Caenorhabditis elegans: one gene and its partners. The protein of the gene in region 1 purifies or fractionates together with the protein of each later gene. This does not show direct contact. Each region holds a gene or a part of one and is shown on either strand. Other genes may lie near its edges.

Region 1 (4,542 bases):
TAAGGTGATTGAAACTGGACACAAGGCGGGCGGGCGTTTTCATTGCTAAAACTTCAAAAAACAATTACAATTGTCGGCAGCATTTTTCATTGCAAATTATCTATTGTAAAACATTTTTGCATACTAATGTAATTTGCACTCAGATAGCAATCAAACTATTCGAGAAAGATCCGAATGAAGTTAACATATTGACTTCCTTAATGAGAACGGGAGATATTCCTAAATTTGTTTCCAAGACAACTAGAATGTACCGTATTCAAGTGAGTTAAAATTTTCGCCATGTAAGTAAAGTCCGCATTTCAGAACGAAGTTTGCAACAAAACTGAAATATTTCAATTTTCGATCGGAAATAAAGTTGTCAGCTGTCCTCTTTACGATGGGTTGGCTTTTCTTGACAATAATTCAACACATATTGTGCAATGTCCAACATATTGTGAAGTTTGCAAGAAAATGTTCATTTGTTCGAAAAGATCATTGACAGGTCAGTTTTTAGAACTTTGAAAAATCACAATTTCTGTTTTCAGGAATCATCTACACACCGGATGGTCGCAAAAAAGATTCAATTGATTTTCAATATGGTTTTCTTGATCAACCTGTTGTTCGCGGCGTCGACTGGTCAATTTTTGTTGTGTATATTTTCATATTTGCCTTATGTGCAAATATTATAACTTTTGCGTTTTCAGATAATTAAATAATAAATAGTTTATTCAATTAAACTTGAATACAGATCAAAGCAAGCACAAAACTCATGCACGGGAATAGACTTAATCACTGGAACTATGAGTTCTATTTTCGAAAAAAACAATCTAATTTAAAATTGATCAATTACGAACCTGTACAATACGGAGAGACACAAAAACACAGAAATGCAAAACAGTTAAACTTTAAAAGCTCCTGGACACATAGTGAGACCTTTCGAATAGAAATCAGAACCCGTATCAATTGATTCTTGAATCAGCTTTTTCCAACATTCCATTCCCATAACACCTCCAAACTTCTTGAAACTTTTCTCGACCCATTCGTTGTTAAGGTACGTACTACGGTAGAAATCTCCTGGGTCACAAGCCAGTGTAACAATCGTAAGACGATGCTTGATAGCAGATTTTCTGGCTCTGAAAATTGTGTTCATCAAGATTTGATAGCCAAGGTATACGCAAGGTATATTGATACGCTTGCGTAAACTAAACTATTAAAACATATTTTTTAACGCAAAAATTTAAATGTACTAGTAAACGCTTAAGTCGTCAAAAGACAACGAATAAATACTCTAGACGGATTAGTTTGCAATGATGTCAGTTTGAATTACTTACTTGTTCTGATAGGCTTTGTAAAGAGAAACAAGGAAGTTGAGTGATGTTGACGGTCCCACATTATAACCTTTTTCATCGAGAATTCTCATTGTAGCTACTGATGCAATATCAGGCATTTTCATGGCTTCATGGATTACATTTCTTGTTAAACTTGTTGTTTCTCCGTACCACACTGGTTCAATATCATATCCGTAACCAATTCCAGCAATCCCTGGAGGTGTCCAAATACCTGCACCAGATTGATTTGTGAATTTATGTCCAATTACATAATCGTAGAATAAAGAGTATTGAGAATCGGAGAGTACGACTTTTGTAGGTGCTCCATATCTAGCGACATATCTGCCAACTGACGAAATAGTTCCACCGGTTCCTGCTGAATGAACAAAGTAGTCAGGGATTTTGACAATTTGCTCTTTGTCCTTTTTGAGTTGAACAATAATTTCATGATAGACATTTGTGGACTCAAAATAAAAGTCTCCACTTTCATGGAATTCTTCAGCTTTTTCAGCGTTTCCAAATTGATTCATGTAGAATCCGTGGTTTTTGTCGGCGAATTCCTTAGCTTTTGCATTGCGAAGAGCCACAGGAACCTGAAACAAAGCAAAACTTACAATAATTTTTTTTATTTTTCTGCTTCTTTCTCGACATTTTCCAACTTTCTTAACAACGCTTCCCTCATCTTTAAAAATTTTAACGCGAAATTTCACACAATAAAAGTTGTTTCTCTATAAAGAAATTTTATAAGAAATTGGCGTTGAGTTGAATGAGAAAGTTTTGGGGTTAGAGTTCTTAAAAACTGGAAAAACTTTGGCTAACTCAAAAAATTGGTCAATATTAAATGAAAATTAAACCAAAAATACTGTATGTGACTCTGTGTAAGTAGAAGAAGTACCTTGATAATTTTTCCTCCGAAACTCTCAATTTGCTTGACTTTCTCCTTTTCCAAATTATCAGCAACGACAGCATAGTATGGGACATTGACTAAAGTACACATGTAGGCTTCAGCAGACCCAGTATTACCAGATGTTGAGTCGTAGACAGCGGATGTTTTTGAAGTCACTTTTCCTGGAAATTTTAAAATTTGCAGAAATTTTTTTTGAGAAATGTTATTTATTTAACGTTTCTGGACTAGCTTACTCATAGCTCTCATACTCATAGCTTAGCAGTAAAAAACCTGCAGAATATAAGTTTTCGCAGATACACTGTACTTCACCAATTAAATAACATACTAACCTTCTGTAATAGCCCAAAGAAGAAGAGCCCATGCAAATCTGTGCTTCAACGTTCTCGTAGCTGTGGCAGTTTCATTTTTGAAGAAAATGTCGGCGTTCGGGAAACCAGGGGGACTGAATTTTGTCATTGGTGTGTGTCCCATCTTTCGTCGTTCATTCCATAATTTTTGAATTGCTCCGAGCCTCCATTTTGCTTCATCTAAAAATATTTTATGTTTATTGAATTAAAAAGACCTTGAGAAAAAAAAAACTAACAATCAGGTACAGCATCCTCATTCGGAATTCGACTTTCAGAAATTTTTGTTATATCTTCTGCAAGGCAACTTGCGGATATGCTCAGAAACAGAGCCAGAAGAAGTAGTTTCATGGCTGAAAACGATGAATTAAATTTGTGATTGATGTATCAATTGGAATTTTCTTTTATAAGTCCGGGGTCACGCCCACAAGTACAGTAGGAAGATTGAAATTTCGAACGCAATGAAGAGCATGACCACGCCCACAAATTAATGAAAGAGCACAGTTTCCGGAGTCAAACAACTATTATAGTATACATGGTTCATGGAGTGTTTAGAAAGTGAACTTTATAAAAAACTTGAAATGAAAAGTAAACATTAAAAAAATAAGTGATGCGACTATTTATGAATCTAAGTTTTCTTTTTGCAAGAGTTCCGGTTTCAATGATAAGCTGATCAAAATTAAACTCATTTCTTATATGACTTGAAATGATACTCATTTTGAAATAGTGCTTCAAAACAAAAAATAATACCTGGACAATACAAAATTCTCTAATTTTTGAAATGTAGAAATTAAATTTTTCTTAAACTCTGCTAAATGTCATAGGAAGCTTTCTATTCAAAAAATTGCGCGTAAAAGGATATTTTCTAAAATAATATATAGTAAATTTAAGGTTGGTAAAAAGAACTGAAAGATAACTTTTTCATGAGACTGTCTGTCCGCGTGCAAGGCGATATATGCCTGCCCCGTGCCTACTGCCAAAATACACGATAATCCATTTTTAAGTTTCAGTCGAAATTTAAACGCTAGAGAGTTTCAAAACCTTCTCGGCAATTCGGCACCACTTTTATACAAACTTTCCGCACTTTTAATATATATAAGGCTCGAACATTTTTATTATATTGAATTTCCCATAATTGTTTAGAAATAAATCCGCCAGTCCCAAAATTGTTGCATAAATTTGGATATGAAGGTTATTTGCAAAACGATAAAAATCTTTGAAGACACTGAATAAACGAATAACACCCAGATTTGGATCTTCCTGTGGAGATTTGAAAGTTCCCCAGAAAACCTAAAAAACAAAAATATAAAATCATGGTTACAGTAGCCTGAGCTACCCTCCAAGTGTTCTTTTCCTTGCAACTAATGCTTTTAAAGCACAATAAAGATTCGTTCGTTAATTTCTTTGTTTTACGTATTTTGTTCAGTCCAAGTAAACCAAGAATCGGAGCTGATCACTGATGTCTGGTTGTCTCTAGATCAGTTTCTTGCCATTTTTCTAAAAATGTCAAGTCAAAAAAATTTTGATTTGAATTTAGATTCCGGAAACCGGAAGCAGTTTATACTAAGATGATTTGATTTAATTAAAACTACTACATACACTACGGCTTCTCAAATTTTGTTTCAAATCGCATCATCTTCTGAAATGATATCATTTTGAAGCGGTATACAAATTAAAATGAAGCATGTAGGTCAAATGATGTCATATCTTTCTTGCACCTTTGTCTTAATTCATTTTAAACTCATAGAAATTATTGAAGAGATTAGTCTGGAAAAGTATGATGTGTTACTGCTTTCAAACAAAAGATTTGCCAATTGTAAGAGAACAAGGAAATAAACAAAAAAGAACAATTTCAGTACGTCAAGAGGTTTAAATGTTGCAAATTAATTAATTTGATTGCAGAAAAACATCTGTTCGTTTTCAATCTAGAGTAAAGGTTTTAAATTTTGACTACATTACTTTCTAGAAATTTAAGAGTTTTTAA
Region 2 (5,618 bases), on another chromosome or scaffold:
GATATGGTTTAACTATGAAGCCGCCTGCAACCTCCAATGGGATCCCTAATGCAAAAGGTCCAGCCGCCACTCGCAACGGAAGTTCCTGAGAAAGAATCAAGGATAGAATCTGAACTTGGGATGTTAATAAATTTTTTGTGTTTGAATGTGATCACTGGCAAAGATTTCAGGTCAATCCTTACAGTTTGCAGCAATTTGTAAAAACATTTGTTAAAAAACGCTTCTGGTCGAATGTCTGCTACTGGTGGTGATCATATTGATCAAATGAATATGAGTACCTACGCGACTGGAGCACCAGGTTCAGATCTTCCGGACACTCATGATGACAATAAAGTAAGTGTGAAATGCAGAAGAATTATTAGTTTTTTTTTTCAATGTTCTGGAATCCTGGAATTGTCCGTAGTTGTAGTTGTACGAAATTTGAATTGTTCCGCGTCCAAAATAGCATCCTCTATGGGAAGCAACAGTGTTTGAAATTGTTGAATTTGAGCATGGATAGAAATAAGTTATTTGATCAGAAGCAGAACAATAAAGACCAGAAGATGCACATGAGTTTCCGTCGGCTGGAGTATAACCAGGAGTTTTAGGGTCCAAAAAGCTACTTGTTGGTCCTCTTTCAAACCAGTTATAAAATCCTCCACGGTAGAAACAGTTTGATGCATCTTGATCGGACTGATGTCTGAAATTCATCAATTTTGAAGTTTCTTGAATAGCATGGGCAAAGAAAGCCGTCAAATCTCGTTTCTTATTTTCATGCAGTATATACATCTGCAAAAATATGAAATAATCTCGAAATGTGGCAATACTTGAATTTTGAAGAAAAAATATTTACATACAGTATTGTTGACATTGATCGAAGTTCCAAATTCTGGAAAGTATCTGGATGCAATTTTGAAAACATCGTAAGAATATGGCCAGCAACTCGAAGGACCCCATCCAAGATTGGCAAATGGGAACAGGTCTTCAAACATTTCTCTCGTGAACCAGCATTCTAGTTTTGAAGCAGGAAGATTATTTGGATCCGTTGGCGGAGTGCATGATTTCGGAGGTCCATTGCCGCTTTTGGACACAATCTACCATTTCGAAAACGATATGCATACACAATAGAACAGTCTATAAAAGTGAAATTCGCATAAGTTTCTGCTTTAAAAGCTTACACGATATAAAAACAGCTATGAGTACGGAATTGATGATAATCATAATATTCAATCAACATTTGAATGTGTTCAAGTTTTGTTTAAGTACTTTTTATTTATTTTATTATTCAAAACACACATTGACGATGCATCAATTTTTAAACTTGTATAGTCGCTATAACATAGCACATTTGGCAATTATGAAAACAATTATTAAATAACACATTTTTTCAGATTGACAAATTGAAATTTTCAAACGCATGTAACCACTTTTTTCAGCGATTGATCTGCAAAGGATTCCCAGTATACACAAAAAAGTCATATTGATGGGGTTTAAAGAGAGCTCGGAGTAAAAAATCTCGAAGGCACAAATCTTCCCATATTTTGTCCAGCTGATTCAAGAAAAACTGTTTGATTCAAAGTTTGAATAATTTTTTTAAAACTCCTACTGAATTCTAAATGTCTTTAATTACTTTTCAAGATATTCATAATTCCGATATTTAACCAATAAATCTCAAGATCATTGATTTCCCACAACACGCTGTCACCACCTACACGTGTTCACCAGAAAGTCGTTTCCCAGATCGAAATTTAACAGTGTGCAAACTTCTTTCGCCGCGCTACTCCACTTGTTGCTCATCCATCTTTTCCGCTTCTTCTCATCCTCATTTTCACTCCCCCACTTGTGTTGTTTCCTCATTTCTTTCCACCAGAGCCTAGAGAAGAAGATATTTCTCGCCGTTTGTCCAGGTGTACAACAATCAACGCTTCAAGATGGTGGTCAGTTTTTTTTTCAATTTTCAAATACTTTTATCTAAACTTATATAGTGAATACACAAGAATTACACAAATCTGATTCCGTAATTGTAAAAATATGCAATTGTTACAGAGAGTAAAGTTTGGAAAAGAACAGTATGAAGCTATCAAGAAATTTGAAGTTCAGCATCACGGAGATTTCTGGAAGTTGATTATGGATAAAGTAAGTTTGATTTTAAACTTGATACTAAATCTTACAACGTATTATCCAAATAAACATACCATGTCACGGTTTTTTTAGACTTTAATTTTTTCTTTATACAATAGATTTTTAAAGGTATTATGTATAGTATTTTTTGTTACTTTTATGAAATACTCACAAAAAGAAGTAATCATAAAATAGTAATTTTTCGCTAGAAGTCACAGGTTTCTATTGGATCTTCGATGCCTTGGCGTCTAGAGCCACTAGTGCTTTGGGGCCTAGATAGAACTAAAAGTTTTACAAAGTTTTATTCTCGAATAAAATGGTTCAAATGCAATTTCTAACACACGTAAATTTTTAACCCAAAAATAAGTCTACTTTTTCAGATGGGAAAATCCGATGGTCTTTCAATCTTGGACGTCTCAGAGGAAGCTTGTTTATTTGCTTTGACTTTGGCTGAAAATCACCCAACCAACAAGTAAGCATGGGCAATAAAAGAATGGAATTAGAATATAGGTTTGTTTTCAGGCTAACAATTATGACATCGAGTGTAAGACCAACTTTCGATTTTCCTGTCAATGTCCAATATCACAAAGGGAGCATCCTGAGAAATGCCGATTCAATCGCCCAGGTGTGTTCGGAAGCGTTCTTTTTAGTTATTGAATCTCAAAGAACCAATCACATAAAAATCAAGTTAATGTGACCTATCAAATAATTGATAGAATATCGAAAGATCTGGGTTGATTGGTGTAAGTGTGTGCGTGCAGATGTGTGAGTTGCCATCTGTTATGTAACAACACATGCTCATTTTTTCTTCTCTGGAGCCGCCAAAACAGCGAAAAAGACCCGTGGTGACAAGATAATTGTGTCGTGAACCTTCGATCAGAAGATTTTTGAAGTTTACTCAGAGCCTTTTCGTTTTTTGAGGCGACGAATAAGATGGCGGATTGAATTACACGGTCTAGAGTTGAAGATGAAAAAAGCCCGCATGAAACACTCGTTAAATTAGAAGATACCGGGGTAAAGGAGACAGAGACGTTTGACCAAAAATCACTTGAATTACGTACTCCGTTGGCTTTTGACACTACTTCAAAATATATCTTAAAGTTGACAAACATTGTTTACAATTGTCAAAAACTTTTGAAAAACTCTATTATCTACAAAACGATTGATCGAAAGTTTTAGATGTTTTTCAAAAATGATAGAATGTTTAAAACTGTGAATGAATTGATAACAGCAATTAAAGATACCGTTCATTAAAAAAAACAGTTTTGTGTAAATACTTATGTATTTCAACATATGTTTAGTAATAAATTTCTAAAGGTATTGTCAATCCAAGAAATATTTTGTGCCACCTATCCTTGGAAAAATTTAAAAAAAATTATAGCAATTTCTTTTTTAAAAAATTCATGTGTTTTTTTTATTAATTTTTATATTAATCTTTAATTTTTATTACAATTCACGAATCAATCATTGAAACAATGATGTGTTAGAGTTCTACATATTAAAAAAGAAGTTGGTATTTTCGAAAGTCAACAATTATTCCTCTCCCTTTGTAGATTTTAGAAATTACTTTCAACGAATCCGTCTGATCATTTTGTAAGTGTTGAACAATTAAAAAATATTATTCACGAGTTCATGCTACAGAGTTTCTCACGCCTCCGAACAACTTGTTGCCGAACTAGTTCTACTTATATCTTTCTCAAAAATAAAAACTTCCGCCTAAAATACAATTTATTTTCAGAGTGGTCCCTTTGATCTCATTATTTTCAACGAGATTTCACACGATATTGGAGATATTGATGGATTGTTCAAAAAGCTGAAAACTCTTCTTAAAGGTTGATCGAATTCGGACGATACTTGAAGAAAATTGTTATTAACTTTTAGATGGAGGTCAAATAGTTCTCTTTTCTCGCCCCAAGAATCCACCATTGCCAGTTCCCGATATATGTCTCATGCTTTGGAGAAAACTTGCAGCTACTAAAGAGGAATTGCTTGCATCAGCAAACGCCGTAAGTGATTATTCAGCTGACTTTTTTGACTACTTAGACTTGGATTCCCACGGATCATGGGAAGATCAGTCATCAGACTAGATTACTGAGTATGATCGAAATGTTTTTGAAGCATCTCGTGATCTCAATTAAAACACAGATGGAGTACTTAGTCAGTAAGAATATAAAATTCCAGGAATTACGAGGAAATTTGATTTTAAAACACTTCCGTCAAAACCTATGCCAGTCCATTTCAGATCATAATCATCAATAAACCAACATTGTATGATTTCTAAATATGCTTGAATGTAACCAAAATTTCATTAAAAATCAAAAAGTCAAAAATAATTTAATAATATTAGTCAGCATAAACCTTTGCCAGAAATTGTTAATTAACTCTCAGTCAGCTGTCATGAATTCCCAGTTGAACCTTTTTTTTTAATAGGAATTTGGGAAAGTATTCCAAAAAAAAAAACCAATTTCAGGCTCAACTCAATTCTACATGCTTCTCTGCAGCCGTTCCAATTTCTGTCGACAAGGTTCAATGGGAGAATATTTTGTATTCCGGTTGCTTCCCAGCCGTCAAGAACACCCCAAAATGTGATGAACGTACTATTCGTGATTTCTGTGTTTCAAAGTCTGGAAAATTCGAATTCGAGGAGAAACTTTTGATCGTTATGTTACGTAAATAATTATTTGATTTTGTTATTGAATGTTTGTCTGCAGGGTTCACTTTCCCTAGTTGGTCCAATGATTGGATTTTATGAATAAACTCACGTACTCTGATCTTCTCTTTTGGTAGAAAAAGTTGCATTTTGCACGACACAATCCTGTGAAAAAACGGAAAAGTTTTCAGATTTCTGTATTCTGTTCCTTGTTTCATTCATTGATTCTATTAAAATGTTCGATCATTTGGATCTTAATTTACTTCCACTTGCGATCTTCTTTATTTTTTGTTCAACTATTGGAGTGATTGGAAATTTAATTATGATAATATGCTGCTCTGTTACAAAGTAAGTGTGGAATTTAATAATTACTGGGCATATTAAATACCGGCACTATAAAATAATTTAATTTTCAGAAGACTTCATTCTCCTTGTTATTTTTTAATATCACTAACATGCCTAATTGATGCATTTCATATTAGTGGGCAATTTCCATTCCTCATTGAATATTTCACAGGAAGTTGGTTGAATTGAATATATTCTAACTTTTTTTCAAACTTCCAGTCACATCGAGTCAATCAGAATGCTATTTTATTCTGATTCTTCCAATCGTTGGATATTGTGCAGGTGGTCCATTGATTCTAGCGATGGGAATTGATCGGTTCATTGCTGTCAAATTTCCAACATCGTATCGGTATTATCAGCAGGCTTCTGTAAAATATCTTTCAATACAGTTGGTGTTCCCCATTTTCTACACTCTATTTTTTCTTGTCTTCGGATTTTTGGAAAGAGATTCAACAATGTAAGGTTTCCTGAGATCTGGAGCTTAGAAATGATACAGCAAGTTGTTTCTTACGTGATTTATTCA
Region 3 (4,217 bases), on another chromosome or scaffold:
AATCTGAAGAGACTGGCTCGGAAACCGGATCGGATTACGCAACAGATGAAGGACCAAATGTCGGACGTCGTCGGGTTAGACGAAATGTAGAATTGGAAAGCGATGATGATGATGAAGATGAAGAGGAAGATGAAGAAGAGGAGGACGGCGTTGAGCGTCAATTTGATCCCGAGGAGGCCGCCAGAGTTGCATTCCTTCTCAATACGTTTTCTATGAATGGAAATGTCATCTTCGTGGAGAATGAAGGTGACGTAGAAGACGATCGCGTTCCAGATGACGTGATTGATAACTTCATTCGCAATGTTCGCAGAGTGCACATGGAGCCGGATATGTCTGCACCATATTTGAATATCCCACTTGATTAATATCTTTTTTCGCTGATTGAATATCATTTTGTTTTTGTTCTACATTCTTTTGTTTCCTCAAAATCTCATCACAACGTATTTCATGCTCAAAAAATTTACCATAATTCCCCACGAAATTTGTAGACGTATAATTTTATCGGATACCACATTTCCAAACTCATCATACACCCCCATCTTCAAATGTGTCTAATTTTATATTGTCCGGTTAGGCTTATTGAAACCAAAGACCTAGTGAGCTTTTTATTATCATTTCCTCTTTTGTTCCATACTCTTTCCCATTGTTTCATGACAACATCCATTGGTCAACGTTCCAAAGTGTTTGGCGCACTGAAGTACGATTTACGAATCAAGTTTTTGGTACCCCAAAAATGATTTGTTATTACTTTGAAATAGAATGCAAAAATAAATTTATTACGTCGGAAATTCATAAATTCAGATGTTTATTACTAATTCTTGTTACTAATTCTTGATCAGTTTGGAAATGTGGAGTTATATTGAAAGTTGAATATTCTGACTGTAAAATATTTTACAAGTCTCGAATTAGAACTAATTCACATGACACGTTTATTTTTAGTTCGAATGGATATTAAGAAAAGTTAAAATAAGTCAGTTTTCGATCTGAAATAAGCAGTTCATTTAGGATTAGCAAGATTAGTTTTCAATAATTTATTGACTTCAAGTAATTTATGTCAAAATTTTTCTTATGTTTTCAGTGTATCAACATATTCACATTTTTTCACATTGTGCAAACTTAAAACTGGTGAATTAAAGTTAACAGGCTTCAACTCGCGTGCCAAGTTTCGGAATGTTTTGTTTGAACCTGAAAAGTGCTGCAACTGCTAATGTAATTTCATTAGTAATTTCGGCAATTTGGGCCCGAAAATGAGCATTGCCGAAAATATAAAGTTTCAAAATTTCTGAAGATTTTAAATCGAATAGATGTTTTTTATATCAGAATGCTCAGTATTCAAGTTCAAATGTCTCAAACCTCAAATTAATAGGTAATTTTTGAAATAGCAAACGGTATCCAACATCCAACAATTACGGCCTTTGTCATGCACTTTTTAGAAATGAGCAAATGCAAAACTTTTCAAAAATTGATTTGAAATTTCCTATTTGCACAACAAGCTCAAAATTATATTGACATAAATTCCAAGTTTGTATCACGAGCATGCTCATTATGAAAGACACCAATTTCAGATCAATCTTATGATTCTAATTGTCATTGTGTTTATTTGCTCGTTCTCCATCATCAACAACATACTGGGCGGACGTTAATTTGTAGCCAACTATCAGTCAATTGATAAGATACCCCACACAATTGGTGGCTCTTTTCTTTTTGTCTGACAGTTGAACAGTCACTCTGGGTTTTTCTTTTTACAATTTGATAAGTTCTGTATTGATTTTTATCATTAACATTTTAGAATGAGAACATTCTCAGTTGCACTGCTGCTTGTCTTTTTTGCGTCGAGCGTTTCATCCGTTCGCTACTACTCCCTTGCTGACACCTTCCAGTCAGTAATTGATACGGAAAAGGCATTGGAAGAAGAACTGAGAGTTAATTTTGAAAATGCGAGAGCAGCAAGAGACAAATACCGGGAAGAGACTCAGAAGAAACTGAACGAAACGCTTTCAAAGGTATCTGATGCAGTTAAGCAGAGAGCCGATGAATTGGAAAAGGAGAAACAGGTCACAAATCAAAATTTAAATATCAGTTTTCTTATGATTTTTTTCAGGAAAAAGCTGAAGCCAAGAAAAAGGAAGCCGAAGCAGCGATCGAGAAATGGAAGGAGGTTTCTCAACAAGTTGGAGAATTCGTCGAGTCAGTTAAGGAAAAGAAACAAGCCAAGGAGCAAGAAAAACAACAGGTTACTATTTAAATTTTAAATTTTTTGGATTATTATTTCAGAAAATTGATGATTTTGTGAAAACTTTTACGGACAAAATCAAGCAAAAACAAGAAGAAAAAGAAGCACAGAGGCAGGAGCAAATTGAGGTATAAATCACAATTTATTTAAAAAATTGAAATAAGAATTTGAAGTAATGACGCTTTATTTGTATTAAGATATTACTAACTACTACTTGGTTTTTCTTTATAAATGCTCATCTTATTCTAGAAATGGAAGCAAGCCTCTGAGAAGCTTCAACAACAAAGAGAAGAGTTGAAGCAACAAATCGATGCAGCCAAACAAAAGCTTGATGAAAGAAGAAAACAGAAACTGGAGGAATTGAAAACCGATTTGGCTCAAGTCAAAGAGCTGGTAACTGCTGAGGTGAAGCGTCGCGTTGACGAGAAAAATCAACGGCTTGGCGAACAAAGAGAAAATCATGAAGCTTTAAAGCAACAGATCAATGTGAGTTTTTGGCAATGTCTTCCAACTGATTTCCCATCTTGATTTCAGGATAAACTTGCTGATATTGAGCAGCAGGGGAAGAATGTTGGTGATCAGGCAAAAACATATGAGCAGAAGAAGGATGAACTTTCGGATCTTATTCAGGTAATTTAGGGATTTTAATGTCTTCATGCAATTTTTGATATCAGGATCTAATCGGGCAAGGTGTTAAGGATAAGATGGCCAACCAAATTTCGGACAAGCTTCAGGGTCAACTTGACAAGGCAGCCTTGAAAGAAGTTTTGAACGAGAAGAAAGTTGAACAAGCTGGAGCCCCACCACCGGTTAATGAGATCCCCGTTGATATTGCTCCGAAAGCAACAATTCTTGACGAGTTAGTTACTTACTATTAGCATCGAGAAATACCTAAATCACGATTTTCAGAATCACCGGAAAAGCTGCATGGGAGACTGTAACCTGGGTTCTTCTTGCTCTGTGCATCCTTCTTTCAATCGCCTTAATCATTATCATTGTTTATCAAGTCAAACAACGCTCTGTCTACGAACGGCTCGACGGCAACAACCAGGTTTACAATCCAACATCAGAAAGAGCCCCACTTCTTCCACCACCAGCAACTCCAATAACTGCTCTACCACTGGCTCCTGCCAAAGAAGAACAGCAGTTTTAAACTTTGTTCGATAACCATGTGATTGTATTATAAAATTGTTTGCACATTGTTTTGCCATTTTTCACGTATAAATTTTTTGATTGATCCTGGTTATTATTAAAAACAAAACAAATTAAGGGAGCCTGTTAGTGTTAAAATTTGGGAACCAAAAATTATAATGCCACGTCAACTTCAAACATTTTCAAAAAACGAAATAAATAATTTCAAGAATACATATGTATTGAAAATTAAGAAGGGAACCAATTTTCTAAACAATCTCAACGGAAGTTTTTAATGAAAGTTTTGATTTTGGAATGTTTTAAAGGCAATGCACGTTGCCGTATGCACGTTGTTTAAACTCATTTACATTAATCTTACATGCAGCGAAAAAAACGCATTGAAAAAATTCAAAACATTTTTGGTGGGATGACAAATTTTAAAACAAAATTTCCGTTTTTCAAAAAACTTTTGTCGAATTCCAAAGGTTTAATATTTGCAAACCGAATAACTGCCACATTCCATCTGTAAATTTAAACAATTCAGAACATTTCTGAAAAGTTTCTCGAATTTCTCATTGGTGCTGCTTTACCTTTGCCATTATTAACTCGTCAAATTACAAAATAACTTCCGCAATCGGAGACTTGAGACTTGACAGCCGAAAACCAAATTCGATTATAACTGAACTGTACGATTTTGGTTATAGTTTGTATTTTTTTTTGTACTTTAATGACGTAAATTATCGTCATATTATTCTGCTCGATGAGCAGTTCCCAAGCATGTGATCAGTCTGTTTAAGAAATCATAGAAACATTAAGAAATCACTACAAACTAGATGATAGACATCTAAAAATA

What was found.
Region 2: the proteins of F13B12.4 (region 1) and C51E3.9 fractionate together in Caenorhabditis elegans (co-fractionation; one large-scale study listed by BioGRID). This does not show direct contact.
Region 3: the proteins of F13B12.4 (region 1) and lro-1 fractionate together in Caenorhabditis elegans (co-fractionation; one large-scale study listed by BioGRID). This does not show direct contact.

The regions. Positions count from the first base shown.
Region 1 is NC_003282.8:10,443,894-10,448,435, forward strand, and holds F13B12.4 (Putative pyridoxal-phosphate dependent protein F13B12.4), read right to left. Parts: upstream 2,912-4,542; 5' UTR 2,910-2,911; coding exon 2,798-2,909; intron 2,742-2,797; coding exon 2,544-2,741; intron 2,376-2,543; coding exon 2,203-2,375; intron 1,901-2,202; coding exon 1,311-1,900; intron 1,113-1,310; coding exon 878-1,112; 3' UTR 692-877; downstream 1-691. Other genes in the region: F13B12.7 (Neprosin domain-containing protein), read left to right, coding at 201-260, 304-481, 525-691.
Region 2 is NC_003283.11:10,144,108-10,149,725, forward strand, and holds C51E3.9 (Methyltransf_11 domain-containing protein), read left to right. Parts: upstream 1-1,845; 5' UTR 1,846-1,910; coding exon 1,911-1,916; intron 1,917-2,025; coding exon 2,026-2,115; intron 2,116-2,480; coding exon 2,481-2,572; intron 2,573-2,622; coding exon 2,623-2,725; intron 2,726-3,838; coding exon 3,839-3,932; intron 3,933-3,981; coding exon 3,982-4,106; intron 4,107-4,544; exon of another isoform or gene 4,545-4,570; coding exon 4,571-4,777; 3' UTR 4,778-4,870; downstream 4,871-5,618. Other genes in the region: srsx-26 (G-protein coupled receptors family 1 profile domain-containing protein), read left to right, coding at 4,986-5,098, 5,167-5,270, 5,315-5,552.
Region 3 is NC_003284.9:6,270,300-6,274,516, forward strand, and holds lro-1 (Lysosome-Related Organelle protein), read left to right. Parts: upstream 1-1,789; 5' UTR 1,790-1,790; coding exon 1,791-2,054; intron 2,055-2,101; coding exon 2,102-2,233; intron 2,234-2,274; coding exon 2,275-2,361; intron 2,362-2,482; coding exon 2,483-2,719; intron 2,720-2,767; coding exon 2,768-2,863; intron 2,864-2,907; coding exon 2,908-3,092; intron 3,093-3,142; coding exon 3,143-3,386; 3' UTR 3,387-3,469; downstream 3,470-4,217. Other genes in the region: W05H9.2 (Dynein heavy chain 7, axonemal), read left to right, coding at 1-365.